Linked DNA regions of Daphnia pulex. The protein of the gene in region 1 interacts with the protein of each later gene in a biochemical or structural test. Links are inferred from orthologs where the notes say so. Each region holds a gene or a part of one and is shown in the gene's direction. Other genes may lie near its edges.

The links.
Region 2: of the proteins of ubiquitin-conjugating enzyme E2 G2-like (region 1) and ubiquitin-like modifier-activating enzyme 1, one has a biochemical effect on the other in vitro, tested with the Homo sapiens proteins (5 studies listed by BioGRID, with this or other methods). The link is inferred for Daphnia pulex from reciprocal best matches to the Homo sapiens genes UBE2G2 and UBA1.
Region 3: the proteins of ubiquitin-conjugating enzyme E2 G2-like (region 1) and E3 ubiquitin-protein ligase MARCHF6-like form a complex in vitro, tested with the Homo sapiens proteins (2 studies listed by BioGRID). The link is inferred for Daphnia pulex from reciprocal best matches to the Homo sapiens genes UBE2G2 and MARCHF6.
Region 4: the proteins of ubiquitin-conjugating enzyme E2 G2-like (region 1) and E3 ubiquitin-protein ligase parkin-like form a complex in vitro, tested with the Homo sapiens proteins (6 studies listed by BioGRID). The link is inferred for Daphnia pulex from reciprocal best matches to the Homo sapiens genes UBE2G2 and PRKN.

Annotation. Positions count from the first base shown.
Region 1 is NC_060021.1:11,409,218-11,416,097, reverse strand, and holds ubiquitin-conjugating enzyme E2 G2-like, read left to right. Parts: upstream 1-2,677; 5' UTR 2,678-2,786; coding exon 2,787-2,829; intron 2,830-2,953; coding exon 2,954-3,035; intron 3,036-3,113; coding exon 3,114-3,232; intron 3,233-3,296; coding exon 3,297-3,437; intron 3,438-3,489; coding exon 3,490-3,608; 3' UTR 3,609-3,641; downstream 3,642-6,880. Other genes in the region: uncharacterized protein LOC124194765, read right to left, coding at 3,858-3,999, 4,062-4,260, 4,329-4,412, 4,578-5,748. UniProt on the Homo sapiens protein: Accepts ubiquitin from the E1 complex and catalyzes its covalent attachment to other proteins. In vitro catalyzes 'Lys-48'-linked polyubiquitination. Involved in endoplasmic reticulum-associated degradation (ERAD).
Region 2 is NC_060018.1:5,972,342-5,980,354, reverse strand, and holds ubiquitin-like modifier-activating enzyme 1, read left to right. Parts: upstream 1-3,525; 5' UTR 3,526-3,673; exon of another isoform or gene 3,674-3,819; intron 3,820-3,925; 5' UTR 3,926-3,945; coding exon 3,946-5,322; intron 5,323-5,383; coding exon 5,384-5,467; intron 5,468-5,538; coding exon 5,539-5,958; intron 5,959-6,042; coding exon 6,043-6,388; intron 6,389-6,444; coding exon 6,445-6,587; intron 6,588-6,659; coding exon 6,660-7,151; intron 7,152-7,217; coding exon 7,218-7,544; 3' UTR 7,545-7,929; downstream 7,930-8,013. Other genes in the region: ras-related protein Rab-7L1-like, read left to right, coding at 1-11, 198-224, 288-319, 375-464, 529-670; polynucleotide 5'-hydroxyl-kinase nol9-like, read right to left, coding at 881-1,349, 1,421-3,165. UniProt on the Homo sapiens protein: Catalyzes the first step in ubiquitin conjugation to mark cellular proteins for degradation through the ubiquitin-proteasome system.
Region 3 is NC_060020.1:1,680,552-1,688,605, forward strand, and holds E3 ubiquitin-protein ligase MARCHF6-like, read left to right. Parts: upstream 1-3,566; 5' UTR 3,567-3,769; coding exon 3,770-3,791; intron 3,792-3,872; coding exon 3,873-3,968; intron 3,969-4,038; coding exon 4,039-4,113; intron 4,114-4,179; coding exon 4,180-4,396; intron 4,397-4,455; coding exon 4,456-4,597; intron 4,598-4,661; coding exon 4,662-4,974; intron 4,975-5,040; coding exon 5,041-5,209; intron 5,210-5,268; coding exon 5,269-5,407; intron 5,408-5,468; coding exon 5,469-5,648; intron 5,649-5,726; coding exon 5,727-5,878; intron 5,879-5,945; coding exon 5,946-6,129; intron 6,130-6,197; coding exon 6,198-6,561; intron 6,562-6,631; coding exon 6,632-6,813; intron 6,814-6,886; coding exon 6,887-7,021; intron 7,022-7,103; coding exon 7,104-7,193; intron 7,194-7,250; coding exon 7,251-7,383; intron 7,384-7,452; coding exon 7,453-7,588; intron 7,589-7,694; coding exon 7,695-7,776; 3' UTR 7,777-7,923; downstream 7,924-8,054. Other genes in the region: protein l(2)37Cc-like, read left to right, coding at 55-197, 266-382, 446-541, 601-813; glucose-fructose oxidoreductase domain-containing protein 2-like, read right to left, coding at 1,220-1,456, 1,526-1,677, 1,739-2,058, 2,116-2,603. UniProt on the Homo sapiens protein: Endoplasmic reticulum membrane-associated E3 ubiquitin ligase that plays a critical role in mitigating endoplasmic reticulum stress, the regulation of cholesterol and lipid homeostasis, and ferroptosis.
Region 4 is NC_060026.1:3,258,848-3,266,831, forward strand, and holds E3 ubiquitin-protein ligase parkin-like, read left to right. Parts: upstream 1-3,496; 5' UTR 3,497-3,607; intron 3,608-3,667; 5' UTR 3,668-3,722; coding exon 3,723-3,980; intron 3,981-4,045; coding exon 4,046-4,235; intron 4,236-4,296; coding exon 4,297-4,636; intron 4,637-4,704; coding exon 4,705-5,041; intron 5,042-5,103; coding exon 5,104-5,229; intron 5,230-5,296; coding exon 5,297-5,381; intron 5,382-5,446; coding exon 5,447-5,556; 3' UTR 5,557-6,059; coding exon of another isoform or gene 6,060-6,206; 3' UTR 6,207-6,268; downstream 6,269-7,984. Other genes in the region: histone H2A, read right to left, coding at 98-478; histone H2B.3, read left to right, coding at 799-1,170; histone H4, read right to left, coding at 1,856-2,167; histone H3, read left to right, coding at 2,462-2,872; translocation protein SEC63 homolog, read right to left, coding at 6,060-6,206, 6,275-6,964, 7,024-7,215, 7,288-7,518, 7,589-7,984. UniProt on the Homo sapiens protein: Functions within a multiprotein E3 ubiquitin ligase complex, catalyzing the covalent attachment of ubiquitin moieties onto substrate proteins. Substrates include SYT11 and VDAC1.

The DNA of each region.
Region 1 (6,880 bases):
AGCAACGTAAATGGTGACATAGTCGGGAGAATTGCTGATGTAATACATATGAACCTTGGTAGTAGTTTGGAGCAGGGTAATACTTAAATTCCTCGATGTAGTAAACTAGGCAGCGTACGTGGGTGGGTAAAAGGCGGCTTCTTCGGTGTAGTACTTGGGGGCTGCGGTGTTGTAGCTAGGTGTAGAGCAGGTCGTGGTGTAGTATTTCTGTTCAACGTAGCACGAAAGCGCAGCTTCTGTGTAGTAAGTCGGGACTGCGTAATACTTAGCCGCCTCAGTTGTGGTTGTGTAGATCGAGGCAGAAAAGTACTTTGGCGCTTCGGTGTAGTATTCGACCGTTTTGGTGGAGTAATCAGCGGGAGCTTCGGTGTAGCAGCTGGAAACAGAGTAGTATTTAGGAAAATCGGTGCAATAAGTAGCTGAGAACAGAGTAATACTTGGGAGCCTCGGTGTAGTAGGATGGGGCAGCATGCGTAGTCATGTAGTACTCTGTCGCCTTGGTGGTGTAGTAACTCAGGGCAGACCGGCAGAGTAATACTTCAGGGCGTCAGTGTAGTGGCTCGGGGCAGCGTAAGTTGTGGTATAAAACTCCGGTAGCTTTAGTACTTGAAGACTTCGGTGCAGGAACTGGTCGTTGCGTAACTTGCTTTTGGATAGGAAGGCGGCGGCGTTGCGGTTTAGTTTCCACCATACCAAGGAGACATCACTACACCAACGGTCGACCCAGCCATCAACGATACAACACCCAACAGGAGCACGACGCCATAGTTAAATAAACAGTAAATAAATTTAAACATTAATATTAAATATTAACAGGCATATTAACAAATAGAAAAAACATAGAATCAATGTAAAATAAGAATATTTACCCATAATTGCGAATCGATTACACGATGAGGAATGCAGTTGGTGACAGATAGGGCACTGCAGTTCGCGCACGACTTCTTTTTTTCTTTACTCCGGGACGTAGGTGTAGTAGCCCGGGGCAGCGTAGGTTGTAGTGTAGTACTTGAGCGCTTCAGTGTTGTAGTAATGCAGGGCCTTGGTGTAGTAGTTAGGGGCAGCATACATAGACGTGTAGAATTCCGGTCCCTTAGTGATGTAGTACTTGGGAGCCTCGGTGTAGTACACTGGGCAGCATACGTTGTTGTGTAATAGGCGGCTTCTTCGGTGTAGTACTTGGGGGCTGCGGTGTAGCTTAGGTCGTGGTGAAGTTAACTGGAGCATCAGTGTAGTATCTGTTCAACGTAGCACTAAAGAGCAGCTTCGGTGTAGCAAGTCGGAACTGCGTAATACTTGGCCGCCTCGGTTGTGGTTGTGTAGATCGGGGCAGAGTAGTACTTTGCCGCTTCGGTGTAGTATTCGACCGTCTTGGTGGAGATCAGCGGGAGCCTCGGTGTAGCAGCTGGGAACAGAGTAGTACTTAATATACTTAATATAGGTGCAATAAGTAGCTGAGAACAGAGTAATACTTGGAAGCCTCGGTGTAGTAGAATGGGGTAGCATGCGTAGTCCTGCTCCGTCGCCTTGGTGGTGTAGTAACTCGGGGCAGAGTAATACTTCAGGGCGTCAGTGTAGTAAATCGGGGCAGCGTAAGTTGTGGTATAAAACTTCGGTGCCTTAGGGGTGTAGTACTTGTAGACCTCGGTGCAGGAACTGGTCGTTGCGTAAGTTGCTTTTGGGTAGTAAAGCGGTGGCGTTGCGGTTTGGTATCCGCCATACCCAGGAGACATCAATACACCAGTGGTCGACCCACCAATCAACGATACAACATCCAACAGCCTTATTATCTAGACATTAAACAATTTCAAACATTATTAATCAATAATAATTTGCATTTTAACAAACAGAAAATAATTGGCATTAATAAAAAACTTTATGTAGAGACAGAATATTTACCCATGGGTGAAGAAGGCAGATGGTGACAGATAGCGCACAGCAGTTGTTGCCGTGTCGGAGATCCTCACTCGACTGATGTCTCTGGCCTTTTTCGTCTCCTTTTTATACGATTTTTTGATCACCCTCACCTCTTAAGCCTTGCGGGTATTGTACCTGTTCGATAATGATGAAACACGTACCTTTCTCACCCAACCTCTCCGCCGTCGCATGATACGTTCTACGTAATGATCTCCGTGACCTTCGAGCGTCAAACTGGCCTTTCCTTCTGCAGTTTGAAGTTGCTGGGGGGTGGGTCGACAAAAACCAATATCAAAATGAATACCAAATGGTTATGGCTTGCAGCTATTTTACCTGTTTGATAATGATGAAACACGTCCCGTTCTTACCCAACCTCTACACCACTGCATGACACGTTTCACGTAATGATCTCCGTGACCTTCGAATGTGAAGGAAATGCAAACTGGTCTTTCCTTCTTTAGGTTGGCGTTGCTGGGGATGGGTCTACAACAACAAATATCAAAATGAATACCAAATGGCTGAGCCTTGCGGCTATTATACCTGCTTGATAATGATGAAACACGTACCTTTCTCACCCAACCTCCACCGCACTGACAGTTTTACACGTAATGTTCACCGTGACCTTCAAGCGTGAAGAACATGCAAACTGGCCGGCCCGTCTGCAGACCCCTGTCAACCGATTTGCCTCTTGACTAGCATGCTCTAGCGGTCTTCAACTCAACCTTTTCTACAAAGTAATATGCAGACGAAAAAAGACCAAAATTAACAGATTCCAAGTTTACGTTTGATCATACCTGTGACAGTGTGACATCATTTATCAAGTTTAGATTTCAGTTTAATTTTATTAAGTGTTATATTCTGTAGTTACAATGGCTGGGTCTGCTCTTCGACGTTTAATGGCCGAGTACAAACGTGAGAATTGTTATTTTTTGTTATTTTTATAACTTATTAGGTATTCCTGTATATTTTACAAATTTAAGTAATGCATATTTAAGTAACCCTTAGCAGTTATTTGATAATGTATGACTTTTTTTAGAACTTACCTTGAATCCACCTGAAGGTATTGTAGCTGGTCCTATCAACGAAGAGAATTTTTTTGACTGGGAATGCCTCATTGTGTAAAATATTTTGATTCATTTTCTGTGCATGATCTTGTCTCACTTTTTAAATACATTGGTGGTTTTTACAATCCATAGGGGACCTGACGGAACATGTTTTGAGGGTGGTGTTTTTCCAGCAAAATTAACATTTCCAACTGATTATCCATTAAGCCCACCAAAGATGCAGTTTACTTGTGAAATGTTTCATCCTAACAGTAATTTAAATAAAAACTTAGTTAAATATAAAAACACTTGTTAATACTCAAGTTGATTTACCAGTCTATTCAGATGGAAGGGTTTGCATTTCCATTTTACATGCTCCAGGTGATGATCCCTTAGGATATGAATCTAGTGCTGAACGATGGAGTCCTGTTCAGAGTGTGGAAAAGATTCTACTTTCAGTCATCAGCATGTTGGCAGGTCCGTATTTAAATTGGTAAACAATCGCCCTTAATTAACCTCTTTATTACAGAACCTAATGATGAGAGTGGAGCAAACATTGATGCTGCAAAAATGTGGCGAGAAAACCGAGCTGAATTTGATCGCATTGCAACTCGAATCGTTCGGAAATCATTGAATATTCCCTTGTAATATGTACAATATAATAAAAGAAAAATTATGAAAGCGGTTGTCCTTTTAAAAAATATAAAAACTCGTCTTCGACATTAATTGTATTTGACAGTTTTGTGTTATGTCGGGAAAACACACTGTATATTATCTATATATTGAAAGGTTATATTAAACTCTATAGATGCACATTGGCAAATGTATCTGTCCAATCGGAGAGAATTTGTAAATTAAATTAGAAATACTTTTTCAATGACTAGAAATGACACCATTCTAGGGGGCAAAGTGGGAATGTTGCAGAGAACCTTCTAGTTGCTCTGAGTAGTAGTGAGTTGTATTTAAATAGTCTCGCAACCGTTTGGGAAGTGGCAACATACTGATTTGATCTCGCCTGATCAACTTCAAAATAACAAATCTAAGATAATTAATGTGTGAATTAAATCAAATTAAACCATGTAGTTTATTTGAAAAATGTACCTGGACAAGTGTTGCAAGCTTTGAACTTGGCGGAATCGTGATACTGGGTGCAACAGCTGAACACGAGTAGGTCCGTGTGTTGGCCTTCGATGAAGGAAAAAAAGAAACCGACCACTCCTCGAGTGTTCGATAGCCTTATCTATGAACTCAACCATTGTTTGGCTCTTGAATCGGGCAACACTTCCGAAACTGAAGTTTCCTATTAAAATAAGATTTAAGAATTTTAGTCATAATAACTGATAATTAATTAATCGGAAAATGAATTACCATGATCGTGTTCGATGCGAACGTGTCTTACACCGCCGTTCAATTTAAACGACAAAGAGAAGATGTAATGATCATCGCTGCTATCTAAGTAACAACGTTATGAAATTATTAACACAGTTACGTATTTTTCTAATGAATCAATTTCTTAAATATTTGAAATAACTAAATTCATAATTAATGTAAAATGGTTTTTTTTTGGCAGTTACTAAAAAAATTGTCAAGAGCAAAAGAGAAACATATTATTAATACCTCGCACTAGAAAAGATCCGTCGGGTTCGTTGGACAATATTTGCTCAGCAGCTTCACCAGATAGAGGACCCCAATACCATCCATGGTCCTTCACAGCTTCGATTGAAGCAGCAAAGTCTAGATTAGTTTGATTGGTAGTCGTTTCCATATTAAACTCAGGTGAGCTATTCACATTTGTTTCGAACTCGTTCTGTACGCTGTTCGAAGCATTCGAATCCAAAACTTCCTCTGCCAAATCCGCTTGTTTTACCCTTTCTCTTGATTCAATTAAAGACGGAAGGGTAGGTGAGGGGCGAGAAGGAACACGAACAAATCCAACTTCTTCTTGCGGAACAGGAGGTAAAGCCCTACGTTGATATGGTGAGCTCTCAGTACACTGTGGATTGCTCGATTTGTTATCTGGTGTACTGAAAGTCCATCCGGTAGGACACACTTGATTGCATGATTCACCATGATACGATAAATGATGATGCGATGGAATGCGAAAAACACTGAAGAGTGCTTGCTTAATTCCTGCAGCAGTCACACTTAAACTCTTTCGACTTCGCTTTGTTCGAGCATCATCAAAGTTACTATTCTTAGCGACTACGTGTGGTGTCCAAACAAAGCAGCTTTTTCTTTTACTTTCCGAGGAGGTGGACTCGACCGATTTAGAGGGGACAACCATCCATGGACGTCTCCTTGACAAAGAAGTGTCTTGAAATTCACGCAAATAAGATTGGACTTCCTCAAGAGTCATATGAACAGGTTCACTGGGTTCTAACTTTGGCACAGCAGCAATACTGTGTCTATTTCTGCATGTGTTGTTTTGTCTTTGTTTCTGCCTTTCAATATTTGCCAAACTGTCAACAGGGAGTGAATAAACATCACATCCAGATTGAATGCAATTTGATTCTGTAGACGGTGCTGGCTTCTTAATCCGTAGTCTAACCTTAGGTTTCACAACAATGGCCAGAAGTGAGTGTGCCATTTCACTGGCAAATTTAGACACAGCACAGTCATTTAGCACTGGCTTAAGTTCAAGATCTTCTTCTTCACTGAAAGGGTCATCATAGAAGCGATCTTCCACATTGCCAAGCATCTTCCTAGAATCTTCAAAACCAGGAGGAGGATCCAATACAGGAATTTCTGATACTGTGATAAAATCATCTTCATTGCAACCATAGTCCATGGTTTAACATTCTATTCAAATCAATAAAATATATTAGCAAGAAGTTGTAAGCAATTTCAACTGATTGATTATTTGTTTGAATATTGTAACTGACCACAATTGTAAGCAGCTATCTAGAATTAAAGAACGACTGAAACATTGGTAAGTAAAGTATGCAGCGAAAATTCCAAAGGCTTCCTTTTATCAACGAGTTCGTAGACTCTTACAAATAGATTATTTGCCAATATTTAGTATTTACCGTCCTTAAAGAAGGTCACGAATAAGTAAGATCCGGGTTGAAGATTTTCGATCTCACATATCTCTGTGACAATGCTACGTTTTCCTTGAGTTGAAAGCGTTTCGTTCTGAAGGAAATATGGAGTAACCCCGAATCCAAACTATTAACAATGGAAAGTCGGACAAGAAGATATCATTGTTATCCTTCAGCACAGGCAACCGCCATGTTTTCTTTACTGTCAGTAAAGTATGGTATGCGGAGTGCGGGAGGCTAAATTGCGGGTTTTTTCAAGGCGTTCCTTTGAAACGTTTCGAATGGCTTGATTTCCACAGTTTATCAATCCCAAAAATTTCGAAACAATTTGTTGTGACAGCTAGCATGTCGTCTGTAGAAAAAGAGTAAAAATAGACAAATACAAACAAACTATGTCAAAAAGGCATATTCAAACAAATCTAGGAGGTCAGAAGATAAGTTAGCTGAATGTCTTGTTGATAAGTCTTATTGTTGCAGGAAGTGATTTGGTTTATCTCGCCACGCCACGAAGCCTATATCATGAGCCTGCAAAGTTTCCGTCCTTCTACTTTCGGCGTGTACCGATCGCAGGAAAGAGACCGTGTCTCCGGATATGGATAATGTGGTATGCTTTGTGTTTAAGTGATTACTTATTACATATTTTTACTATTGATTCAAATTTGGTTTCAAAATGAATTTCAAGTTGGATTTCCTCCAAAAGAGCCATGTACACATTAAAGATTGGGAAAAAGTGAAAGACAAAATACAGTCTTTGGTTACCGGGAGGCACAACCAACTTCAAGTAGTTTCTTTTTTACTTATAACATTCATTTGCCTAAACAAGAATAAAAGATATATTATATTATACTAATTTTTCTACTTCTCTGTAGGTTGTAGCTGATT
Region 2 (8,013 bases), on another chromosome or scaffold:
ATGGTGCGCCGGTATGTTACTGTTTTGCTATTTTTGTTTTTTTCTATTTTACCTTTCCTGCTTTTTGTGTATTACCTTTTCTATTTGGTTGTCTATGTTAAATTTATTTTAATAAATAAATTTAACTGACATAATAAACAATAACTACATGACCACCGTATTTTTAAAATTAAATTAAATGTCTGTTTTACTACCAGGTTCCGTGTATGTTATTAGCCAACAAAGTAAGTTGTTTCTGGTGCAGTCCAATTTAAGCAGATATTTAACTAAACGCATCTATTTTACAGTGTGATTTGCGGCAAAGGGAGGTGGATCAATGGTGAGAATCCGTTCTAATGCAAATAATAATTAATAATTTAGAAGATCCAAATTAGGGAGATTGAAACTCTTTGTCGGGAGCACAGCTTCATTGGTTGGACAGAAACATCAGCAAAAGATGACCTGATGGTTGGTGACTGCATGCGGTGAGTCGAAAGAGTAATGTCTATTACAAACTGCTCTCAATTACTGCCCTACATTCAAAATTAGGTTCCTGATCGAAATAATGATGAAGTATAACCGCTTCCAAACGACCGACATTTTTGGGCCGTCCCTAAAGCTTAGTAAACGAACAATCGAAGAAAGCAACGGTGTAATTGCTAGAAAGGAAACTTCTTCTTGCGGCTGCTGACCGTGAATCTACATTAATATTTATAAGTTCATTTTCATGTGCTGACCCTGTTATTCTTGGGTTGAAAATCAATTCATTCTAATAATAGCGCGAATAGCACTTCTATATAAATAAAAGTGGCTGTTATTTCTAACTTATGATCAAATCAAATAAAAAAAAAATTATTTTCATCGCCACACAACTTCTAGTTTTACTTAACCATCACACATATTACACAACATTGCGCAAAGTAAAGACGGGATTGTACTTGCGGTAGGGTCGACATGCTGGCTGAGCAACAGAAGGACCAAAAGTCCCGTATGGGACTCGTAGTTTCGTGACACATTCTTCATCTTGGTTGACCGATAAAGGTGCATCGAGTAGTAGACTTTCTGGAACTCGTACTCCTCCCATCACTAAACAATTGACATGTGCAAGTCGCTCCGCTGGTTCTGGGCTGATCAAGTAGACACGGCCTCTTGTAAGGTCGATTCCTCTAATAATACCGTAGCCCAGACAAGGCATCAAAGGTAACTCTCGCAAAATTTTGGGGTATTTTCCGTCAGCAGCCTGGTAATATGGAACAGAAGCAGCGGCATCGTTGTCCAAAATGCAAAGAGCAACAAGCGAAGCGTTGAGAGCGGCCATTGTCAAAGCAGGTGGAACAGATTCATGGCAGATGCAAACGGCCAAATCTTGCCTTGAAATAGAAATTTTAATTGACACAATTATTCTTGAATACAATAATATTGATTGGGAAATCATTATTACCATGAAATGCAGTAGGGTACAGAATCCATTAACGACCAATGAGCGCTGTTAGATAGTTGGCTGAAATAGGACATTAGTCCAATTTGCCGCAATTCCGATGCACGAAAACCCCATTCTTCTAAACTTTTCTCCGATAGTTCCGCCGATGAATAGATTGCTTGTAGCTCGTAATTGGGTAATTTTTCTGACCACTCAGCAGCATCGGTTAGCCAGCCGCGTTGGTGTTGAGCAACATAATCACGTTCGAGCATTGAAGGGAAATTGCGACGAAGTGAGCGGCTGCTAATTTGAAGAAGTTGGTGTGGCTGGGTAAGACGAATCAAGTCTAAAGTTACATCCAGACCAATACCGCTAGTGAATCCCATGGTATTGATTAGTGTTGGAACGTTTTCCAAGGCAAATTTAAGCTTGCAGTCGATAAGAAGTTGCCGGCATGACCGAACATAGCGTTCCGGACAACCGATAATATCTGCATCCCCGACAAAGTATGAGAAAAGTGGCTGTTGAATGTGGGTAAAATTTGGACCAAGCAACGGTTCAGAGACTAAAGATGCTGTTACGCATCCCGCAGGAAAAAACTCTGGCTGGCCAGGATCAAAGTCCACCACCAAAACGGTTCCACACTTTTGGATGAGTTGATTAAGCAAGTAACGAAGTAGAGTTGATTTCCCCACTCCTTTTCCACCGAGCAACATTACTCTAACAGTTTCCTTTTTTTGATATTTATCCATTAATTGTTGTGCATACTCTGCCCAGACATCTGGTTGTAAATAGAATCTGGCGCTGAAAATGCTTCCGCGTAGAACAATACTCGTGTCAAGTTGGTTACAAAGTTTGCCAAATAGGTTGCGATTTTCATCTCTCCAATAATTAGATTCTGGAGGAACGCACTCTTCTTTCTTGAGGATGTTGATGGGGAAAATACGGCTGATGTAATCAATCATTCCAAAGTTAAGGGAACGCAAAATAAGCAAGACATTTTCAGAGCTCTTTTTCTTCAAAAGATTTTCTTCACACGTCAACCCAGCAGACTTCAAGAGAGCGTGAGCGCGGCTTGCATTAAAAGACGTATTGCTTTTTCCGACTGAACGGATGCACTGCAGACTGTATCCTCTAGGAGAAAAAACATGGTATGTTTTACTTAAATTCTGCTCAATAGAAAAGCCTTGCATCTCGGCAATCCCACTAAGACATGTCAAACTAAGACGTCCTTTGAAGTAAAAACATGTCTGAAATGGGATGAATGCTAGAACTTCATTGGGATTAATTAGAAGGAAATCAAATGTATCCAGAGTTTGGTAGACTGCTTGCAAAGAACTTGATTCCTCATCCATAGCAAAGGTTTCTTCAATACCTTCTTTTTCTGCTGTTAAAAAAGAATCATCCTCATTGGGAGAGGATTGGAATGAATTATCTTCATCAGAAATGTTGCTCTCCTTTAATTTAAGTTTTAAGGCACCAATGCCAGTCACCGACACACTTTGATTAATGGTTGAACTGTTGTCTACATTTAATTTGGATGATGTTTTGTTCTTTCGTGAAGTTTTTTTTTTAAGTTTTGATCTTTTCGAAGTTGGTTTGGTCTGTCCATTTTTTAAGGAATCATAGACACTTTTGGCTGAAAGCAAATGACTGACAAATGACAATTTTTTCTCTGCCATATTTGTTGAGTCAGAACTATCGTTTGTGTTGCTTTTTCTTGAAGAAGAAGCAGTCTTCGTTTTTTTGGTTGAGAGTTTCTTCATATTTGTCAAATCTTCGTGGAGGCTTAATGAATCTTCAAGAAAATTTTGGTTTGAGTTTTTATTTTAGTAAGCTATTTTAATAATATTCAATTATACCTGATTAGATCCTATTGTTATATTTTATTTTAAAAAATGCAGATTTTACAGTATTTTTAAGCAGCCGAATTTTCAATCCAAGCACGTGTAAAACTGTAAGCTATAACGCTCAAGTTGCCAGATGCTCTTTAATTCAGCGATCAAATTGTCGGCGGGAAATGTAACTATTATTACGCGTACTTTCTTTGTCATCATCATCACTCTATTTAATAATCGGCTAATAAAAAAGTCGACTATTGCGCCACCTTACTCGTTGATTACAGACATTTTTACTTTGGATTTTAGTAGGAATAGGGAATTGCCGGTACAAGGACTTACTTGCATCAGCTGATACCCGCCATTTCCCCATATCTACGTCGAGTCATCGGTGGGAGAAAGGTGGCAGCACGCAGCACTTTCGAGTTCATAGAAAGTACTGGTAATTACTGACTGACTTTCTGTTGCTCTCTTGCTCGTCATTCTTTCAGTTTGGCTATCTTTCGTTCCAATCCTGGTGTGCAAATTCGCCGGCATTTTGTCGTAATTGTTCATAATTCTCCCTTCGTTGGAATAGTCTAAGTGAGTATTCCAATCGTTCGGAGTTTGAAACTTACCGTAATTTTTTTTATATTAAAGTAAGAAAACTGGTTTGTTAGCACCCATTGTGACGCTCGTGTTGCCCAAGGTATTGAGTTTAATTTTTAGATGTCCACTGCTGAGGTGGATCCGTCACCCTCGTCTCCCAGTCCTGCTGCAAAGAAAAGGAAGTTGGAAGAAAATAACGGGAACAGCAGTAACGGTAGCAATCACCATTTAAAAGAAGTTCAGCAGCAACCGAAAATGGCAGGAAATGGCAACATCCACACCATCGATGAGGGTCTTTATTCCAGACAACTTTACGTATTGGGCCATGAAGCTATGCAGAGGATGGCAACTTCTGATGTCCTGATTTCCGGTCTTGGAGGCCTTGGAGTGGAAATTGCTAAGAATATCATCTTGGGAGGTGTGAAGTCCGTCACCCTTCATGACAACTCAATTTGCAAAGCCTCTGACCTTTCTTCCCAGTTTTATGTATCGGAAGCAGATCTGGGAAAGAACAGAGCTGAAGTTTCTCACAAGAGCCTGGCCGAACTCAACCAGTATGTCCCAGTAGAAACTTATACAGGAGAGTTGAACAAAGAATTCTTGAAGAAATACCGAGTTGTAGTTTTAACTAATTCAAGTCTTGAAGAGCAACTTCGGGTTTCTGAGATCGTTCGTAGCTTCGGCAATGCTCTCATCGTCTCTAAAACACAAGGTCTGTTTGCCCAAGTCTTCTGTGACTTTGGGGAAGATTTCACCATCATCGATACTACTGGAGAAAATCCCGTTTCTGCTATGATTGCTGGAGTGTCTAAAGAAGAAGCAAGTGTTGTTACTTGCTTGGATGAGACCCGGCACGGATTGGAAGATGGCGACTGTGTTACCTTCTCTGAGGTACAGGGCATGGTTGAGCTGAATGGTTGCGAACCCAAGAAGATCAAAGTACTTGGACCATACACCTTTAGCATTGGTGACACGAGCGCTTTCAGCGACTATGTACGTGGAGGAGTGGTTACCCAAGTGAAAATGCCTAAGCAAATCCACTTCAAACCGTTGGCTGACGCTCTCGAAGAACCAGAATTCGTGATGACAGATTTCGGCAAATTTGATCGGCCTCCCCAAATCCATCTAGCATTCAGGACATTGGACGCCTACGTCAAGAAGGAGGGACGATTGCCAACTCCTTGGAGCCGTAAAGACAGTCAACAGTTTGTGGATTTAGCTAAAGAGTTAAACAGCGGTCTAAGTGGCTCATCTAAAGTTGAAGAAGTTGACGAAAAGTTACTGGCCACCTTCTCCCATGTATGTCAAGGAGATTTGAACCCCTTAAACGCCACTCTCGGCGGGGTTGTCGCTCAAGAAGTTATGAAGGCGTGTAGCGAAAAGTTTTCTCCCATTGTTCAATGGCTATACTTCGATGCCACCGAGTGTCTGCCAGATAACCAAGATTCGTTGACCGAAGAAAACTGTAAGCTTACTGGATCCAGATATGATGGACAGGTATTGAAATATTTATTTTTGTTTTTCATCAGTTATGCATTTTATTTTTTTACATTTTCAGGTGGCAGTGTTTGGCAATGAATTCCAGAAAAAGCTTGGATCCCTACGTTACTTCATTGTGGGAGCTGGAGCTATCGGTTGTGAGGTAATTATCAAAGTTTTTGTAATAAATTTTCTGTAGATTTTATTAATTAAAAAATATATTCTATTTGTTAGCTTCTCAAAAATTTTGCCATGATTGGAGTTGGTGCTGGTGAAGGGGGCCAAGTCTTCGTAACAGACATGGACTTGATTGAAAAGTCCAATCTGAACAGGCAGTTTCTTTTCCGGTCGCATGACGTACAGAAACCCAAATCCAGTTCGGCGGCCGCTGCCGTGAAGGTGATGAACCCTCAGGCCAACGTTACAGCCTTCGAGAATCGCGTCGGTCCCGAAACGGAGCAGTTCTTTGATGACGATTTTTTTTCGAAATTGGATGGCGTTGCTAATGCCCTCGACAACGTGGATGCCCGTATCTACATGGATAGGCGCTGCGTCTATTACCACAAGCCCTTGCTCGAATCTGGAACTCTGGGTACCAAAGGAAACGTTCAAGTTGTTATCCCCCATCTAACGGAGTCATATAGTTCGTCTCAAGTAATATAGCTTATTATTTATTTTTTCTTTTATGCTAGTTTTCTGGTTTATTGTAATTAATCAACTTTCTTCTTAAACTTATAGGATCCTCCGGAAAAATCAATTCCTATCTGTACGCTGAAGAATTTTCCTAATGCCATTGAACACACACTGCAATGGGCTCGGGATATGTTCGAAGGGTTGTTCCGGCAATCAGCAGAGAGCGCTGCTCAATATTTAGTTGATTCTAAATTCATGGAGAGAACACTAAAGCTAACAGGATCTCAACCACTCGAGATAGTCGAGGCCGTCCACCGCAGCTTAGTTGAGGAACGTCCGAAGAATTTTGAGCAGTGTGTTCAATGGGCTCGCCTCCATTGGCAGGAACAATATCACAATCAGATCAAGCAATTATTGTTTAATTTTCCACCCGAGCAACTTACTTCTTCTGGTAAAATCTATTGATAAAGTGTAATTTACTTTGTATATAATTTTTTGTTTTGACAGGTCAACCGTTTTGGTCGGGACCTAAACGCTGTCCTCATCCATTGGAATTCGATATCACTAACCCCGTCCATTTGGATTATGTGGTTGCGGCTGCTAATCTAAAAGCTAAAATTTACAACATCCCACAGTCGCGCGATGTACAGGTGAGTTCACTTTTTTTAGTTAAAACATAATTTGATTTACAGTTGTTTTTATCCCCTCGGACTCGAATATAGGCTATTACTAAAATGGTGGAATCGTGTGTCGTACCGGAATTCGTACCACGTTCAGGAGTCAGAATTGCTGTTTCGGATGCGGAAGCTGCTGCTGCCGCCAACAACCCAGGCATGCTTGATGAAGACAGACTTACCCAGCTGCAGACGGAGTTGCCATCTGTGGACTCTCTGTCCGGCTTGCGCATTCTCCCCCTCGAATTTGAAAAGGATGACGACACCAACTTTCATATGGATTTCATCGTAGCCTCTTCTAACTTGCGGGCAGAGAATTATGATATCGCACCGGCCGATCGCCACAAGAGCAAACTTATTGCTGGAAAGATTATTCCAGCCATTGCTACTACTACCTCCGTCGTTTCAGGCTTGGTCTGCATCGAACTTTTGAAGTTGGTACAGGGTCATACCAATCCTGAGGCATTTAAGAACGGGTTTATCAACTTGGCTCTTCCGTTCTTTGGCTTTTCTGAACCAATCGCTGCTCCCAAGCAAACGGTATTGTTGGAAAATATTTTAATCGATTCGTTAACTAAAAAATTTTTTGTTTGTATTTGATTAAAGTATTACGACAAGGAATGGACCTTGTGGGATCGTTTTGAAGTGGAGGGTGAAAAGACGCTCCGGCAATTTATTGATTACTTCGAAAGCGAACACAAGCTGAAAATCACCATGCTTTCACAGGGTGTTTGCATGCTTTATTCGTTCTTTATGCCGCAAGCTAAACGAAGCGAACGTATGGATCTCCCCATGTCAGAGGTTGTCAAGCGTGTGTCGAAGAAGAGACTGGAGCCTCATGTCAAAGCACTCGTCTTCGAGTTATGCTGTAATAACCTTGAAGATGAAGACGTTGAAGTGCCCTACGTCCGTTACGTGCTCCCGACCGAATAAAACTATTTGATTACTCTACGTTGTGCGGCGGGTTGGGGGTTGGTTCATATTTGATTTCAAGGTTATTTACTACCATAATCATCAGTTCACTTGCGCTATATCCAATGTTGTGGACTATTAGCTTAGTTCGTTGCTTTCTTTAATTCTAAATAGAATTCTCTATGGAAGTTATGTTGACCTGGGTCATTTATAATCAATTCCAAGAGTTCTTTCTTCGTGCCAGTGAGTATTAAATGTTACCGATTGGATTAACAAAGGGCAAAAATCCTTACTCTACATGGCTGCAACTTTTTCAACAACCTCCCTTTCAACCCTTCCCCGTTTACCGATTGTACAACTGGCCTTGAATATTGGTATGAAGTTAATACATGCCGTCAAAATTAAATCCTATATAAAAATGTTTTTTTTTTTATCAAGTGCATTATCAACGTACTTAGCAAGTCTTTGACTTTGGTCGATTGATGATAAA
Region 3 (8,054 bases), on another chromosome or scaffold:
AAATGAAATTTTAAAAAATTGTACAGCTAACATCATTAAGGGTTTTTATTTTAGATCTTCAAAATGTAAACATTACTTTGCGTGTCCTGTTCAGACCTGTCCCAACTTCTCTCCCTAATATCTACAGCACCTTGGGCATTGATTATGATGAGCGTGTGCTCCCCTCTATTACAAATGAAATCCTGAAAGCTGTTGTTGTAAGATTATATATTATTTTTTTTTTTTTCATCCTAAGCATTATAAATGATTTTTAAATGTTTTCTAGGCCCAGTTTGATGCTGGAGAATTGATCACTCAGCGTGAAGTCGTATCCCAGAAAGTTAGCGAAGCTCTAACGGAAAGAGCTGGACAGTTTGGCTTAATCTTGGACGATATCTCCATTGTAATGTTATTTCAGTTATATGCTACGATCACTTAGTATAATTCGTTATTCCTTTGACAACAGACGCACTTGACTTTTGGCAAAGAATTTACCCAAGCTGTTGAGTTAAAACAAGTTGCACAACAAGAAGCTGAACGAGCTCGTTTCCTTGTAGAAAAAGTAAGTTTTACTAATTATGTTAAATTTCTGAATCATATAATCACGTATTTTTTTTTTAGGCCGAACAATTAAAGAAAGCTGCAGTCATTTCAGCAGAAGGTGACTCCCAAGCCGCTTCTCTTTTGGCCAAAGCCTTTGGTGATGCTGGTGAAGGTCTCGTCGAACTTCGACGAATTGAAGCTGGCGAAGATATTGCTTACCAATTGTCCAAATCTCGAAATGTTGTCTACCTGCCAAATGGCCAGCAGACGCTTTTGTCGCTACCGCAGTAACGAATTTAGTCCTATCAAGTTTTTGTATCGTATGGGGCGAAAAAGGTTTCGGTACGAGGTCAGTTAATAAGTTATTAGCACATTTTTCTGAATGCTATTTCATTGACTGGTCACGTTTCGAAAAAAAAACTAATCATTCGATGTTTCCGTAGACACTTGTCATCTATTCATAGAAATACAATAAATAATTGTATGTTGTTCCATTTTAAAGTCGTGTGTAAGCATAAGGAGGGAACGAGACGACACGACGAAAGAAAAAACTGTCAAAATGGTACATAAACTAAAGAGTCGTATGAAACATTTTTCTTAGCAAGGTTATTTGAAGAAATCTTGAATGATGTGAGAAGAAGAGAAAAAAAATTTGTTCTTGAAATACGTTAACAGAAAATTATTGCATTGGTTGTGTTCATACAGCGGAAATAGTGGACCTGCGAACAGCGGCACTTAACACCGGATTAGGATCTGGTTCTTCGTGGATGATAGACACTTCCGACCACTCTCGCATCTTGCTGGATCTTTTAACGGCGTCGATGACTGCCATAACATACTGTCCGTCTTCAAAAGTAGCAGCGGAAGAAACAGCGTCTTTAATCCATCCACTACGATCCTCAACGCGGGAAAACGCATCCCTAAGAGCCGACACCTGTTTAACAATCGTACATTTGATTACACGTAGATTGGTAGAATTCACTTGTGCCATATTGCTACATACCATACGAAAAAGCCCATTAATGTACGGCCTTTGATGCGGTTGAATCGGAGCATTGTTTACAATCGAAGATGGAAGAAATGATAGCTCGTCTGTGTCGGTATGGAAAATTTCGGCACTGGGATTCGCCTTGCTCTGACCAGTTACTGTTCCACCTAGAGTAAAAACAACTTTGAATTTTTTTAATCAGTTTCAAATTAGTATCTTATTTGTTACCAGAAGGATCGCTGCGGTAAGTGATAAATCCCTGTGAACCAGTTACAGAGAAGCTAATGTCAAAGTTGTTCAAACCTTCTTGGCTGTTAAGTGTAACGGCAACTAAAGCTCCGCCGTTCATTTCCATATTAAAAGAAGTAAAACGATCACTCGTGATCCGACGAATGCTCGTTTCTCCCCTAACAGCCAGTCCTCTTCGAGTAACGCCATGAACACGAGTAGCTCGTTGCCGGATCACCGCGCTAACGACGTCAATAACATGGGATCCGATCATGGTCAGCACACCTCCTCCCATTCCTTCTTCACAAGTCCAATCATAGCTACATCCACAAATTAATTAAATTTTGATTGCATTCATTAAACTGATATGAACATACTTTTTTGGATTGATGAGGGATCCAAGTTGTACATGGATATCACAGTAATTTACTTCTCCAATAAGCTGATCATTGATAACATTTCTCACATACTGAAAAGAGGGCAAAAATCTGAGGCTATATGCCATTACAGAGATAAGTGATGGATAATACTGAGCAGCATGAACCATTTTGAGTGTTTCACTTTGACTTAAACCCCCAGGTTTGTCACACAGCACATGCTTGCCAATTCCTAGGGCTTTTACTGCAATCTGAGCATGAAGAATTGGTGGACACATGATGATAATCAAATCAACTTCACGCTTCAGTAGGACATCATCCACTTTGCTTGTAAAAAATGGAATTTCAAGTTCTTCAGCTGCCTCTCTGGCTGCCTCTTGTGTCTGAGCCCATACAGAATCCACTTTAAAGCCTTTTGCTCGCAAATAAGGCACTAAAACCTTCATGATAGTACCAGCACTAATGAATATTCCTATTCCAGGAAGCATTATGATGTGCACTGCCTAGAAAATTGGCAAAGTAAGTATAAAATCAATGTATTGCAAAAGGAATTTAGTTATTAGCTCCAAATTCTCAGGTTTGGAGGAATGCATAACCAATTGTTGTTTACCTTTTTGAGGTGCAATTTAATTTTTATAATCTTCTTACTTCATAACAAAGAATTCGACTATATACTGATTTGAATCAATCAGCTCGATGCTTTCCTACGATGAATTTCTAATTTATACAAAACAACCTAAAAAAATGACATTTCCATCAAAACATTGCCGCAGAGTCGCAGACGACAACATACATCTCCCGTTAATCCGATTAATCGATTTAATTCGATCGATCGATTTAATTTAATTAATCGTTCCACATTCGTAATTGCCGATCCTGATATTTTTTATCGATGTTATTTTGTACTTCGGTGAAATGCCAGAAAAATTTTACTTGTAATCACTGAGAGGATAATTTAAAGCGCAAAAAGTCCAGTATTTATACATAGCAAATGCAAGACTGACCGCGAATGTAGCCTACTGATTACTGGGCAAGGTGGGTCTTTAGTTTTGGAGGGTGAACTTCTTTTCCACTGGGGTTAACGCCTAAACGTTAAATTTTTTTATAGATTTTGGTGTTCAGAAATCCGTAATTCTAATTTCCGGCTGGATTAGTGGATAGTACACTGTATGACTTACATCAGGAGAAGCAAAAGCGGCTAGTGAAATCGAAATTGAACAGGAAAGCCAGCAGCGCCACCGCGACTGCTTTATTCTTTGCTTGTTTAAACAAAATTAACCATTTTAATTACTGCGGAAAAATTTCAAACGGTAATTATAACTAAATTAAAAACACTTTTGCGTTGATAAATTATAAAATCATACAATTTATTTGGATGACTAATACCAATTTGCTTTTTTTAATCTAGACATTTTTTTCGTCAGTCTTCGTTCTCTAGTCAGCTGGCTTTGAGATAGTTGAGCGAGAGCGAGCACTACGTTGAGCGAGCGGAGCCGAGTAGCCCGAGTTGACCTTTTTCCTTTGCCTGCGTCTCAACCTCCTTTCTAAAAGGGGACAAATGTTCTTCTAACAACACAAACAAAAAAATAAATAGCATATTTATTTGCTACATATTTTTGTCGCTCTTGGACTGTGATGCCCTAAATAAACGAAAATGGATGAATCTCTTCAATCAGGTAAGTTTTCTCTTACTCTTATTCCGACCCGATTTTTGAAGATTGAGCAATATTGTTCATTATTATATTGCTTTGCTACAGACATTTGTCGAGTTTGTCGGTGTGAAGGAACACCCGACAGACCATTATTTCATCCATGTATTTGTACAGGAAGTATAAAATTCATTCATCAAGAATGTAAGTTTGCCTTTTTCATATCTATTTATCAATATGTTGGTTGGTTTACTTATCATTCACTCCTATGCAGGTTTAGTCCAATGGTTACGTTATTCTAGAAAAGAATATTGTGAGCTGTGCACACATAGATTTTCCTTCACTCCAAGTATGAATAGTGATTTCTGTGACAACAAATGAACCATAGCCTTAAATGACAAAATATTTTCTGCAGTTTACTCTCCTGACATGCCTAAAAGACTGCCTCTTAAAGACATACTTTCTGGTCTGGTCTCCAGCCTTGCTAGGGCCATTAGATTTTGGCTCCATTACACACTTGTTGCCATGGCTTGGCTGGGTATTGTTCCTTTGACAGCCTGCAGAATCTATCGCTGTCTCTTTACTGGATCTGTCTCTTCTGTTTTGACTCTTCCATTGGATATGCTATCATCGTGAGTTCATTTTGAAGTGAAATAATCTACTATTTCTCACTTTTGTTTGTCTTTGTTAGCGAACATGTGGCCACAGATATTTTGCATGGCTGTGTGGTAGTGTTATGCACCTTGTGCGCTTTTATTGGATTGGTATGGCTGCGTGAGCAGATTCTTCATGGTGGAGGACCTGATTGGTTAGAACAAGATATTCAAAATGAGGTAAAAAGCTTGCAGTCTTTATGTGTTCTTAATTTTATTTTGTTATATAATGATTTTTTTTTAGCAGGAACATGTTGAAATGGAACAGCCAGCTGAAGCTCCTGGGGTTGATGCAGATGTTCCGGTACAGAATAACGCTCGGGCAGATGTAAATGCTGAAGGTGTTGGGGAAGCCAATGTTCCAGCTCCTAATAATGTAGGCCAACAAGGGCAGGCTCAAGGCCAAGCTCAAGACGATGTCAACTGGAACTTGATGGAATGGGATAGAGCAGAGGAGCTGACTTGGGAACGTCTTCTCGGTCTGGATGGATCATTGGTGTTCCTGGAACACGTATTTTGGGTTGCTTCTCTTAACACACTCTTTATTCTTGTTTTTGGTAAGAAGACTTATTGATGTTTTACGAATGTTGAGAAACTTATTGAGTTTCATATTTTATTTTAAGCATTTTGTCCTTATCACATCGGACACTTCACGATCGTTGGTTTCAAGATGAAAGATTGGGTGTCAGCGTGCCATTTTGAGGGGCTGTTGACGACCCTTTGTGGATATGTTGTCATTGGGCTTTTTCTCGTACTTCTCCATGGCGTCACTTCACTTCTTCGATTGCGAAGGTAAGAAATAAGAAAAATAATTAAATGTCAGTACAAAATTAATCATGTAATTTGTATAGGCCGAAACGGATTTTAGGGCTTTGTTATGTTGTCGTAAAAGTCTCGTTGTTAACTGTCGCCGAAATTGGTGTGTTTCCGATTGTCTGTGGTTGGTGGCTTGATATATGTAGCCTACCACTTGTTGACGCTACCTTTAAAGTAAGTGTTAAATATATTAAGTCTTCCAAAATGAAAACCTAACAATTTTCCCCTATTTCAGGATCGATTGCATAACTTTAGTCAAGCTCCGGGAACTTCAATGTTTCTTCATTGGCTAGTGGGCATTCTATGTGCTTTTTATTTTGCTTCTTTTGTGTTGCTATTACGTGAAGTTTTACGACCAGGAGTTTTGTGGTTTTTGCGTAATCTGAACGATCCAGACTTTAATCCAGTACAGGAGGTATATTTTCAACAATCTTATTTTATTTTATTTTTTTTTTACCGAACAAACCACTAACGAATTGTGATCCTTTAACAGATGATTCATCTTCCAATTGTCCGTCATTTGAGACAGTTTGCTGCTTCTCTAGTGATATTCGGCACAATCGTGTTTTTGATGCTTTGGGTTCCCATACGAATTTTGCAGAAGGGCATGCCAAATTTCTTGCCCTATTATATTGTCAATTCGACGTAAGTTCTCAAAAGTTTCAGCAGAAGTTTCAGACGATTGTTACTCATTTATTTTTCAAATAAATAGGGACACCCAAGTGTCGGAATATTCGTTGGAGTTGCTGTTGTTGCAGGTTATTATGCCTTGCCTGTTGGAGCAAAACCATGCTCGTCAATGGTTACTTTATGGGTTGAGAATGTGGTGTCTAGCTGTGTCCTGGCTGTTGGGCTTACGTTCTTACTTGTTGGGAGACGTGTCTAGCTCAAGCGAGGTAAGTTGGTTGTATAAATTGCAATTTTTTTTTCGACATTTATCATTCTATGGCTCTGTTTCCTACAGTCGGGAGAAGGACAACCCCATCACAACAACCAAGGAGTAGTAATTGGTGAGAATGGTGAAGAAGAAGAAGAAGATGATGACAATGAGCAAAATGATGTTCAACATCACCAAATGGATCAACCTGCCGCACCAGCAGAACCTGTTGCTGCACCTCCTGCTCAAGAAGAAAACATTCTCCTTGGAGGAATACCTTTTCGTAATGGAGGATTAGGAGCTGCTCATCAAGCGCTTTTGCAACGTGAAGGTCCCGCAGGATACGTTCCCTATTTACGACCCCCGGTCTTTTTTATTAGGATCATCCTTCTCCTTTTCATCATGTGCATTAGCTTGTCTGTTGCGAGCACAATTTTCCTCACGCTTCCTGGTATGAAACTAAAAAAAAAAAACTAAAGTATATTTGATAAAGAGATTTTTATTTTATAATTAACTGCTAGTTTGGATCGGTCGATTTTTAATGGAAACGTTTTATGGAGCTGGTCCTCATCATGAATTATATACGGCATTCGCCGGACTATATTTTTGCTGGCTAGTACTTCGTGGGATTCACGTGTTTTCTCATTTGGTTCCACGAGGATGGTCAAACGTGTTTGTTCGAATCAAATCCTATACCATTTTGGTTAGTTGAAAGTTTTGTTTTTACTTGCTTTATATGCGTATCCAATAATATTTATAAATTCTGGATATTTTAGGTATTGAAGTGTACTGTGGCATTTTCTCTACTGCTTGGCGTTATTCCCTTACTCTTCGGGCTTCTACTAGATCTCGTTGTCGTAGTTCCTCTACGCGTTGCTGTCAACCAATCGCCCATTTTTTCGCTTTCTCAAGTTGTATTTTAAATTTCTTATACGTTTTTTTCTAGAACTTTAAAATAATATTTACTTCTGTTTATTTTGATGAACTGTAAAGGATTGGAGTCTTGGAGTTCTATATACCAAAATAGTTTGCGGGCTGACAATGATGTCACCGGATTGGTGGTTGAAACATTCGTTAGAAAAGGTATTTGTTCCGTAGAATAACAACAATTCGGTTCTTATTTTTCCGTCTTTTCAATAGTTATACCAGGACGGAATTCGCCGAATGAACTTGACCTTTGTTCTCTGCGAACTTGCCATCCCTGCTATAGTAACTCTTGGTTTGGCGTTAGCCCTTCCATACGTCGTAGCTCATTCGATCGTTCCATTTTTTGGTAAGATCATCTTGAGGGCATCATTACGTCTTGAAACTTTTGTTTATTCTTTTTAACTTCTTTTTATAGTTCCAAGTCGACAACTTAGAGCTCTTATCGCTCGAAGAGTATATCCGTCATTTCTGGTCGTTATTCTTTTGATGGTATTCTCAGTCTGGCAGTTGAAACAGTTTAAACGGCTGTATGAACACATAAAAAATGACAAGTAAGTATTTAAACTTTGCCACATTTATAGTTCATGAAAGTTGTGTGTGCTTAGGCGAAAACAGTATAAATGAGTCATGAAATAACAAATGTTCATTCGACTGTATGCTTAACAGGTATTTGGTGGGGCGCCGACTTGTCAACTACAATCACAGGATCGACAGGAATGAAAATGCCCAGACGACATGATGATCATTTGCGGAGTTGAAAATAAACATGGCGATCGTGTTGTATGAACTATGTACATTAAAATTTCTTTTTGCTGTTTCAACCTTTCAACTTTCATCATTATAAATAAAAATGTGTATTGAAAATAAATAGGGCAGTGACATCTTTTTTAAAATTTTTTTCTTGTATTAAAAGCTTCTGTTAAGGCATACTTCAAAACTGAAAGTCTTGCATTCTTAAGCCCTTGTTTCTTTTAAAAAAGTACTACCCTTGAAGAGCGGCGGCAACCTTGATACTCA
Region 4 (7,984 bases), on another chromosome or scaffold:
ATAAACTAAGTTCGAAATATAGCACTCAGCAAATTCCTTTTTTCCAAAATAAATTGGTGGCCCTGAAAAGGGCCGTTTATTAAAAGACGGGAGAAGTTTAAGCCTTGGCGGGTTTGTCGGTCTTCTTGGGCAAGAGAACGGCCTGGATGTTGGGCAAAACACCACCCTGAGCGATGGTGACACCGGAGAGAAGTTTGTTCAACTCTTCGTCGTTGCGGATGGCCAATTGCAAGTGACGAGGGATGATGCGGGTCTTCTTGTTGTCACGGGCGGCGTTACCGGCCAACTCGAGGACCTCAGCGGCCAAGTACTCCATGACGGCAGCCAAGTAGACGGGGGCACCGGCACCAACACGCTCAGCGTACGATCCTTTGCGGAGCATTCGATGGATACGACCGACGGGGAATTGAAGTCCGGCCCTGCTGGAACGAGTCTTTGACTTTCCCTTGACTTTGCCTCCTTTACCACGACCAGACATGTTAGGATTGAGAGTAGATAAAACGCGGTTCCTAAAATCAAGGAACGAGTGATGAATACAATTTGAAAAATCGACGTTTATATAGGGACTTGAAGTTGGATTCAGAATACAATTTTGGTAGCCAATAGTAAATCTTCACTTGCCTCGAAATTCTTTCCCTTTTCTATAGCTCCGCCCCTGAGTGAACACCTACGTGATACACGCAAGTCTCTGGAGACGAGAGTTTTGGCTACCATCAAGTAGTGAAGGGGAGCCGATATCAGTATAAAGAAGAAATTCGGACAAGCGGACTTCACTTTCTGAGATTTCCAAGTCCAAGAATGCCCCCTAAAGTAAGCGGTAAAGCTGCGAAGAAGGCCGGCAAGGCCCAGAAGAACATCGCCAAGGGCGACAAGAAGAAGAAGCGCAAGAGGAAGGAGAGCTACGCCATTTACATCTACAAAGTGTTGAAGCAGGTCCACCCCGACACTGGCATCTCCTCCAAAGCCATGACCATCATGAACAGCTTCGTCAACGACATTTTCGAGCGCATCGCTGGAGAGTCGTCCCGTCTCGCCCACTACAACAAGCGGTCGACCATCACCAGCCGGGAAATCCAGACGGCCGTCCGTCTGCTCTTGCCCGGTGAGTTGGCCAAGCACGCCGTGTCTGAAGGCACCAAGGCAGTGACCAAGTACACCAGCACCAAGTAGAGTGATCCTCTTGTTCTCTCTACAAACCAAACGGCCCTTTTCAGGGCCACCAAATTTTAAAGAAAGGAAAAACATCTAACTACTTTTGACATTTATTATCTAATCGAGTTCTAAACTGAACCCATATTGTTGATTAGTGCGACGGAACGTTAGGAAATACTGTGATCAAGAGCTTTTCTCTATCTTTCTGCTGAATTTTAAGTTTGGCAGATCCGGTTCAATGCGTTGATTTTACATATTCATTTGATTTAGAAAATGATTGATATTAAAATTTATCTCCGTTAGCAACTCCTTCTACATACTAAGGAACTAAGGAAGATTTTTGTTAAATATGAAAGTTAAAAATAAAAATACTGCGTAAAATCTGAGAAAACAATATCAATAACATAACAGCATCTCGATATTTTTCGATCGAGTTATTTGGATTAACATAGTTTCAGATCACAAGATCCTTTAGGACGCATTGCTCCAACACCTGCTATGTCAATCAAATCTTTCAAAGATGAAATAAAAGAATGATGCTTATTAATTCAAAATTCAAGGATTTTGTTCTTGTAGCAGCATAAAGTCGACAAGAATATGGTTTAAAAAGTGGTTAAGAAATCTTTTTCTTTAAGTAAATGGTGGCCCTGAAAAGGGCCGATTGGATTGAGTCAGGAGTTAAAATAATAAATCGGAATCAAATTTAACCGCCGAAGCCGTACAGAGTGCGGCCCTGGCGTTTCAATGCGTAGACGACGTCCATGGCCGTCACCGTCTTCCTCTTGGCGTGTTCAGTGTAGGTGACGGCGTCACGAATCACGTTCTCAAGGAACACCTTCAACACACCGCGGGTCTCCTCGTAGATGAGACCAGAGATTCGCTTGACACCACCACGACGGGCAAGACGACGGATGGCCGGCTTGGTGATTCCCTGGATGTTGTCACGCAAAACTTTGCGATGACGTTTGGCGCCTCCCTTGCCGAGTCCTTTTCCTCCTTTGCCGCGACCAGTCATTTTCAAATAAGTTTCAGAGATTTAAAAAATATCGAATGATGTTATGTTAAACTCACTATGGTCCCAATATATACCCTACCGGATCCTCAAGCTGAACTCCTATTGGTGGAACTCAGCTCCAGCCATCATTTGTCAACAAAAAGGATTTCCGTTATAAATTTTCTATTCCCTCCCATTTTTGAATTAACCAATCCCTAGCCAGTGAACTCGCTTAGCTCTGCAACGTCCGTAGGTTCCCCACATATACCAAGCACTTTTCACTAGTTAGGACATCTGAAATTTCACTCGCTCGAAATGGCTCGTACCAAGCAAACTGCTCGTAAATCCACCGGTGGCAAGGCGCCCCGCAAACAGTTGGCCACCAAAGCCGCTCGCAAGAGTGCCCCGGCCACTGGAGGAGTCAAGAAACCCCATCGTTATCGTCCCGGCACCGTCGCCCTTCGTGAGATCCGTCGCTACCAAAAGTCGACCGAGCTTCTGATCCGCAAGTTGCCATTCCAGCGCTTGGTCAGAGAAATCGCCCAGGATTTCAAGACAGATTTGCGTTTCCAGAGCTCGGCCGTCATGGCCCTGCAGGAGGCCAGCGAGGCTTACTTGGTGGGTCTTTTCGAAGACACCAACTTGTGCGCCATCCACGCCAAGCGAGTCACCATCATGCCAAAAGACATCCAGCTCGCTCGTCGTATTCGTGGTGAACGTGCCTAAGCGACCTTTTCCCTTTTGACTTACCAATCGGCCCTTTTCAGGGCCACCATTAGTTGCTTGAAAAGATTTTTCCTGCCAGACATTTCAATATCTTGGATTAAACTAGATCAGTATTGTTTAATTACCAACTTCTTTCTAATTTTCTGGAAATTAATAGTTGTATAAATTTCTTTCATCCAAGGTTGAATTTTAGAATAATTAGTTAGTTGCTATAAGAAGTGTAACGTTATATAAGACCTAAAACTAATTTAATTAAAAGTAACCCAGTAACATGATTTGGTCGACTTCTGTTGGGTTCGTCATTTTCAGTTAAAGTACGGATTTCGATAATTACTTATGTAAATAAACGTGTAGGTATGACCGAAAAAGAGGGGCTTACGAAAGAGGTTAAGTATATCAAGGATTTTTCGACATTACTTATTCTAGAAATTTACAGCAGTTTTTAGTTTGACAAGTTTAAGTTGACCTTCTAGAGCCATAAAAGCCTACAAGCCACAATCTCACTAAACACCAGAATAACAGATAATTTCGTTACCTTTTATATACTCTGCTAAATATAATAAGACGAAGTTGACTTGTTGATGAGAGTGACGAAGAGAAGGTGCTAGCGTCAACCTACTAACTAAATATTATGACGAAATTGTTGCTAGTCCATTTCACAGCAGACTGCAGACGACGTTTGTTCCAATTCATTTCAACCGAAGCCAACGTAAACAATATTTTCAGTTCGTGCCGGTATGCAATATAAAAATATAAAATATTTTTGGTTATTTAAATTATACATTTTTTACGTAGATATCTCGCTTTCATAATGTTCTTCAATCTTGGGTTTTTCACGTAAACCTACAGAATGATTAAATGGCTGTTGTCGCTCATACGTTCATTATTGAACAGAATTTTGAGATTTTTTTGGCCCAGTGATTCAAGTGAATTTACCCTGCCTGTTCACATAAAAGCTGCAGGAGGTAAAACATTTCTTATCGAAATGAGTCGAGATTGGGATGTAGCTCGGATCAAGAAATTTATAGCCCCTAAAGTTGGTCTGAAAGTTGAAGATATCAGCATTATTTTGGCTGGCAAAAGTCTTGCTGATGACTTGTTACTAGAGGTTTGTTAATTTCTTATATTGCTTTTGTTGATATTCTAAGTTTAATTTACCCAACAAATTTTTAGGAGTGTGATCTTGGTCATAATAGTATTCTAAATGCTGTTAAACTTAAAGTCATAAAAAAAACTGATGCAACTTCTTCCGAAGACAAAAATAGGAGAAATACACCATTTCATCAAGACAAGCCTCTTTGTGAAACATTGCTCGACTTGCAGTTAACTGAAGAGGAACAGAAATTGTTGCACAAATCTCTGGGTACGTCTGCAAATAGTTTTCCAAATCATTTTATGAATTCTGACAACTTCCTCGTTTTTAGCTTGTAGTTCTCCAGAGTATAAGCAAAAGAAAGCTCAGTTTTATGTTTACTGTGAATTTCCATGCAAATCAATACAAAGTGGTAAACTTCGAGTTCGATGTAGCCTTTGCAAAGCTGGTGCCTTCACCGTGGACCGAGATCCTTGCTGCTGGGATGATGTTTTACGACCGGAGCAAGTTAGTGGTACTTGTCAGATGGAAGATTGTGATCATTCGTGGGCCGAATTCTACTTCAAGTGCGCACATCACCCTTCACGAGGAGAGACTGACTCAACTCTTCCTCTGAATCTCGTCAAATCAAACTTCAAACAGGTTCAGTGCCTGGCCTGCATGGATATTAGGTAGCAATCGTTTTAAAGTTAAGATAGAATTCAGTAACTTGGCAACTTATTTTAATATCCCACTTTAGTGATCCTGTTTTGGTATTTCAATGTACCAACTCTCATGTGATATGTTTGGAGTGCTTCCAGCAATACTGTATGTCTCGATTGAACGAAAGGAGGTTTGTCTTCGATCCCAATATCGGTTATACCCTGCCTTGTCCAGCTGGATGTGAGAACTCATTGATCGACGGAACCCAGCACTTTAAAATTCTAGGAAATGAGCAGTACCAACGACTCCTGCACTTTGGAGCAGAGGAATATGTTATGTCGACAGGTGGTGTGCTTTGTCCACAACCTGGCTGTGGAATGGGCTTACTTGCGGACCCTTCTTGTCGCCGAATTCAATGCACAGGGGGATGTGAGGTAAGCATATTCTCATAAATATAACCTTGTTAAAAAATGTCTAAATGTTTTTCGCAACTCAGTTCGTGTTCTGCCGCGATTGCCTACAAGGCTATCACATCGACGAGTGTCAGACAAATGGAGAAAACAACTTTCAATCCATGTTGACAACCACCGAGTACGTTGTAGATCCCGGACGAGCTGCTCAGGTTTCTCTAATATCCACATTTGAGCTTGATTCTAGATTAAATGAGTAACATGAAATTATTTACTTAGGCGAGGTGGGATGCAGACAGTCGCGTTACCATACGTGTTACTTCAAAACCTTGCCCAAAGTGCCGAACGCCAACCGAGCGAGATGGTAAATTAAATTATGATCTGGGATTATTTCTCTAACGGTGTAGCTAATTTCTTGTTTGTTCACAGGAGGTTGTATGCACATGATCTGTACTCGACAACAGTGTGGATTTCATTGGTGCTGGGTTTGTCAAACGGAGTGGACAAGAGAGTGCATGGGAAGTCACTGGTTCGGATAAGACAACCTTTCCGCTTTCTTTATCAACCCTTTTATAAAGTACCGTGGTTCCTTGGTGTCGGGTAGTATAAGGGTGGAGAGTGTACATTTCTTTACGCTATACTAGTCAAGAAATTGATGACATTTGGTTCCTATAATAATCTAGACAAATCTGTTAATTGAAAATTGAAATGAATCATTTATCCGAAATATTCAAATGCTGTTCTAGGGAAGTCTTAAGAAGCCTTTAATTTTCCAACTGTCACAATCAAAATATTGCAAACATCCCGTGTTTCACCGATTGAAGGCCTAGACAAGATTTGTGTAATCGGCAGTCGAGGTATAGGGAATGATAAATACCCATATGTATAGCCAATGAAAATAAAGCCAGAAGATTCCCACTAGAAATAAATTTTTCAAGATTTTAAGCCTTTACAAGACGGTGATGAAATTGAATCCTTTTTCCCAATGAACAGAATGTTGAAGTCTCTGGCAAGTGAAAAAAAAGTCTCATTTCTACTGCAATCAGTCCTTGCCACTCTCTTCGTCATCATCATCGGTAGCAAATTCAGATTCGGAGCCTCCAGAGTTCTTATCTTCTTCATCCTCATCATCGGAAATATCCCATTGTGGATGCTCAGTAGGAATCTCCTCTGCTTCTTTAACGTCCATCTGTGAATTAAAATTTTAATCAATCAATAACCTATTTAGCAAAATTAAAATAATTAGCCGGAATATACCTTGATATCCTTCATTTGATCAAAACCAAAATATGAATCGGAGCGTAAACACACGGCGAACGTGTAGAATCCCGGCTTGAACGGAGCTGTGAATTTGAGTTGGATTTCTTCGTGCTCTACTAGATTGGTAATGTGATAGGGGGCGGTCAGAAGCATTTGTTGTTTCCGGTCCGTAATATAAGCCCACCAATATTCTTGTTTGTCTTCGGGATAGAACGGGCAGTACACCGAGTGCGAAAACTGACTTTTACCCTCCAGCAGCCTCTGGCGACGCATTGCAACATCACTCTGTAGCTTTTCTAATTGATCGTCGTCTTTCTCGGGCAAAGAACCATCATTGTTGGCTGCTTCCGCCTCGCCGTCGTCAGATTCGTCCAATTCAACTTCGTCCTCGGCTTCAACTTCACTACAACTTTCGGATTCTTCTTCCTTTGTCTTGTTAGCTGTTTTACTTGATGCTGCTGCAGTCTTCTTCTTATCTTCTACTTCCTTCTTTATTGGCTTTTTGCTGCCTTTTTTATTAGTAGCTCTCTTGCCTTTGTTTTTCTGCCACGGTAGTGACTTCTTTTTGGGTTCCTGTTTTTCTTCTTCTTCCGCTATCACTTCACCGTTCTCGAAAACTTCATTTGTTGTTTCCTTCTCGTTAGCGAACAGAACGCTCAAATCTCTCCTTGCCAAGGCGATCGTAACCTGATTTAAAAGAATGAGTTCTCCGACCGTTGAAACTATTTTGTAAAAATTCATCTTACCGTGACGATAGCGCCAGCTGTGTACTTTGTGGTGGATTCGTCATCCACTACTTCATATTTAATATTCATATCCACATAAGGCATTCCTCCCAGAGCGAGAACCAAATCATTGTATTGATTGTCGTCAAGATGACGTAAGCACTCGCGTCTATCTTCGTCCTTCAGTCGGGCTAGCTGTTCCAGCGAGCGGATCTGTTGCGACACAATGGCTCGTTAAAAAAACCATCTAACTTTTCAGCTTGATTAACACACAAAAATAATTACCTGATATCGCTTGCTGGAAAAGTACTTGAGATTTTCGTCGGTGATGTGAGGCAATTGCATGAGAGGACTCTTGCATTCCCAAAGTCCTTGAACGACCATGGCCGAAAGTTTCATACAACCTTCCAATGTGACCAGAGACGGCATGCGGCTCAGCCGCCCTGCATGGGCCAACATGATGAGTTGAGATACGCACACAACCATTTCTTGAATTAACGCGGGGCACTTCTTGATCTGTTGAAGAATGAATGTTCAAAGAAAATTTCTATGCGGTGTTTGAAATTAAAAAAAAAAAAATGCATACCACAGCACAGCGATCCTCTTCCAACGTCGACTGCGGCAGATCTAGTCGGGTTAAGTGAGCGTGTAAAAGAGCGCGAGCTTTGATGGAATACAGGAAACACAGCGGCCGTTCTTTATTCTTTTCATTGAGCTGAGGTAGTCGCTTCATCAGTTGGGGCACTTCGGTATTGTCACTGCGACGTTCTTGTATTTCTGGATTGTTGCGTCTGTGGAACTCGGCTGATGCACCGAGGATCATCAACACTCGCTTGATTGCCATGTGCGGAGTCTTGTGGAAAAAGTAGTAGTACATCTGTGTCGTATCAAGCAGCACTTGTTCTCCCGAATATCGAATCGAACGATACCACCACGTCCCAACGCTCACGGGTAAAGCAACCATGAACAGCAAAGCGTACAG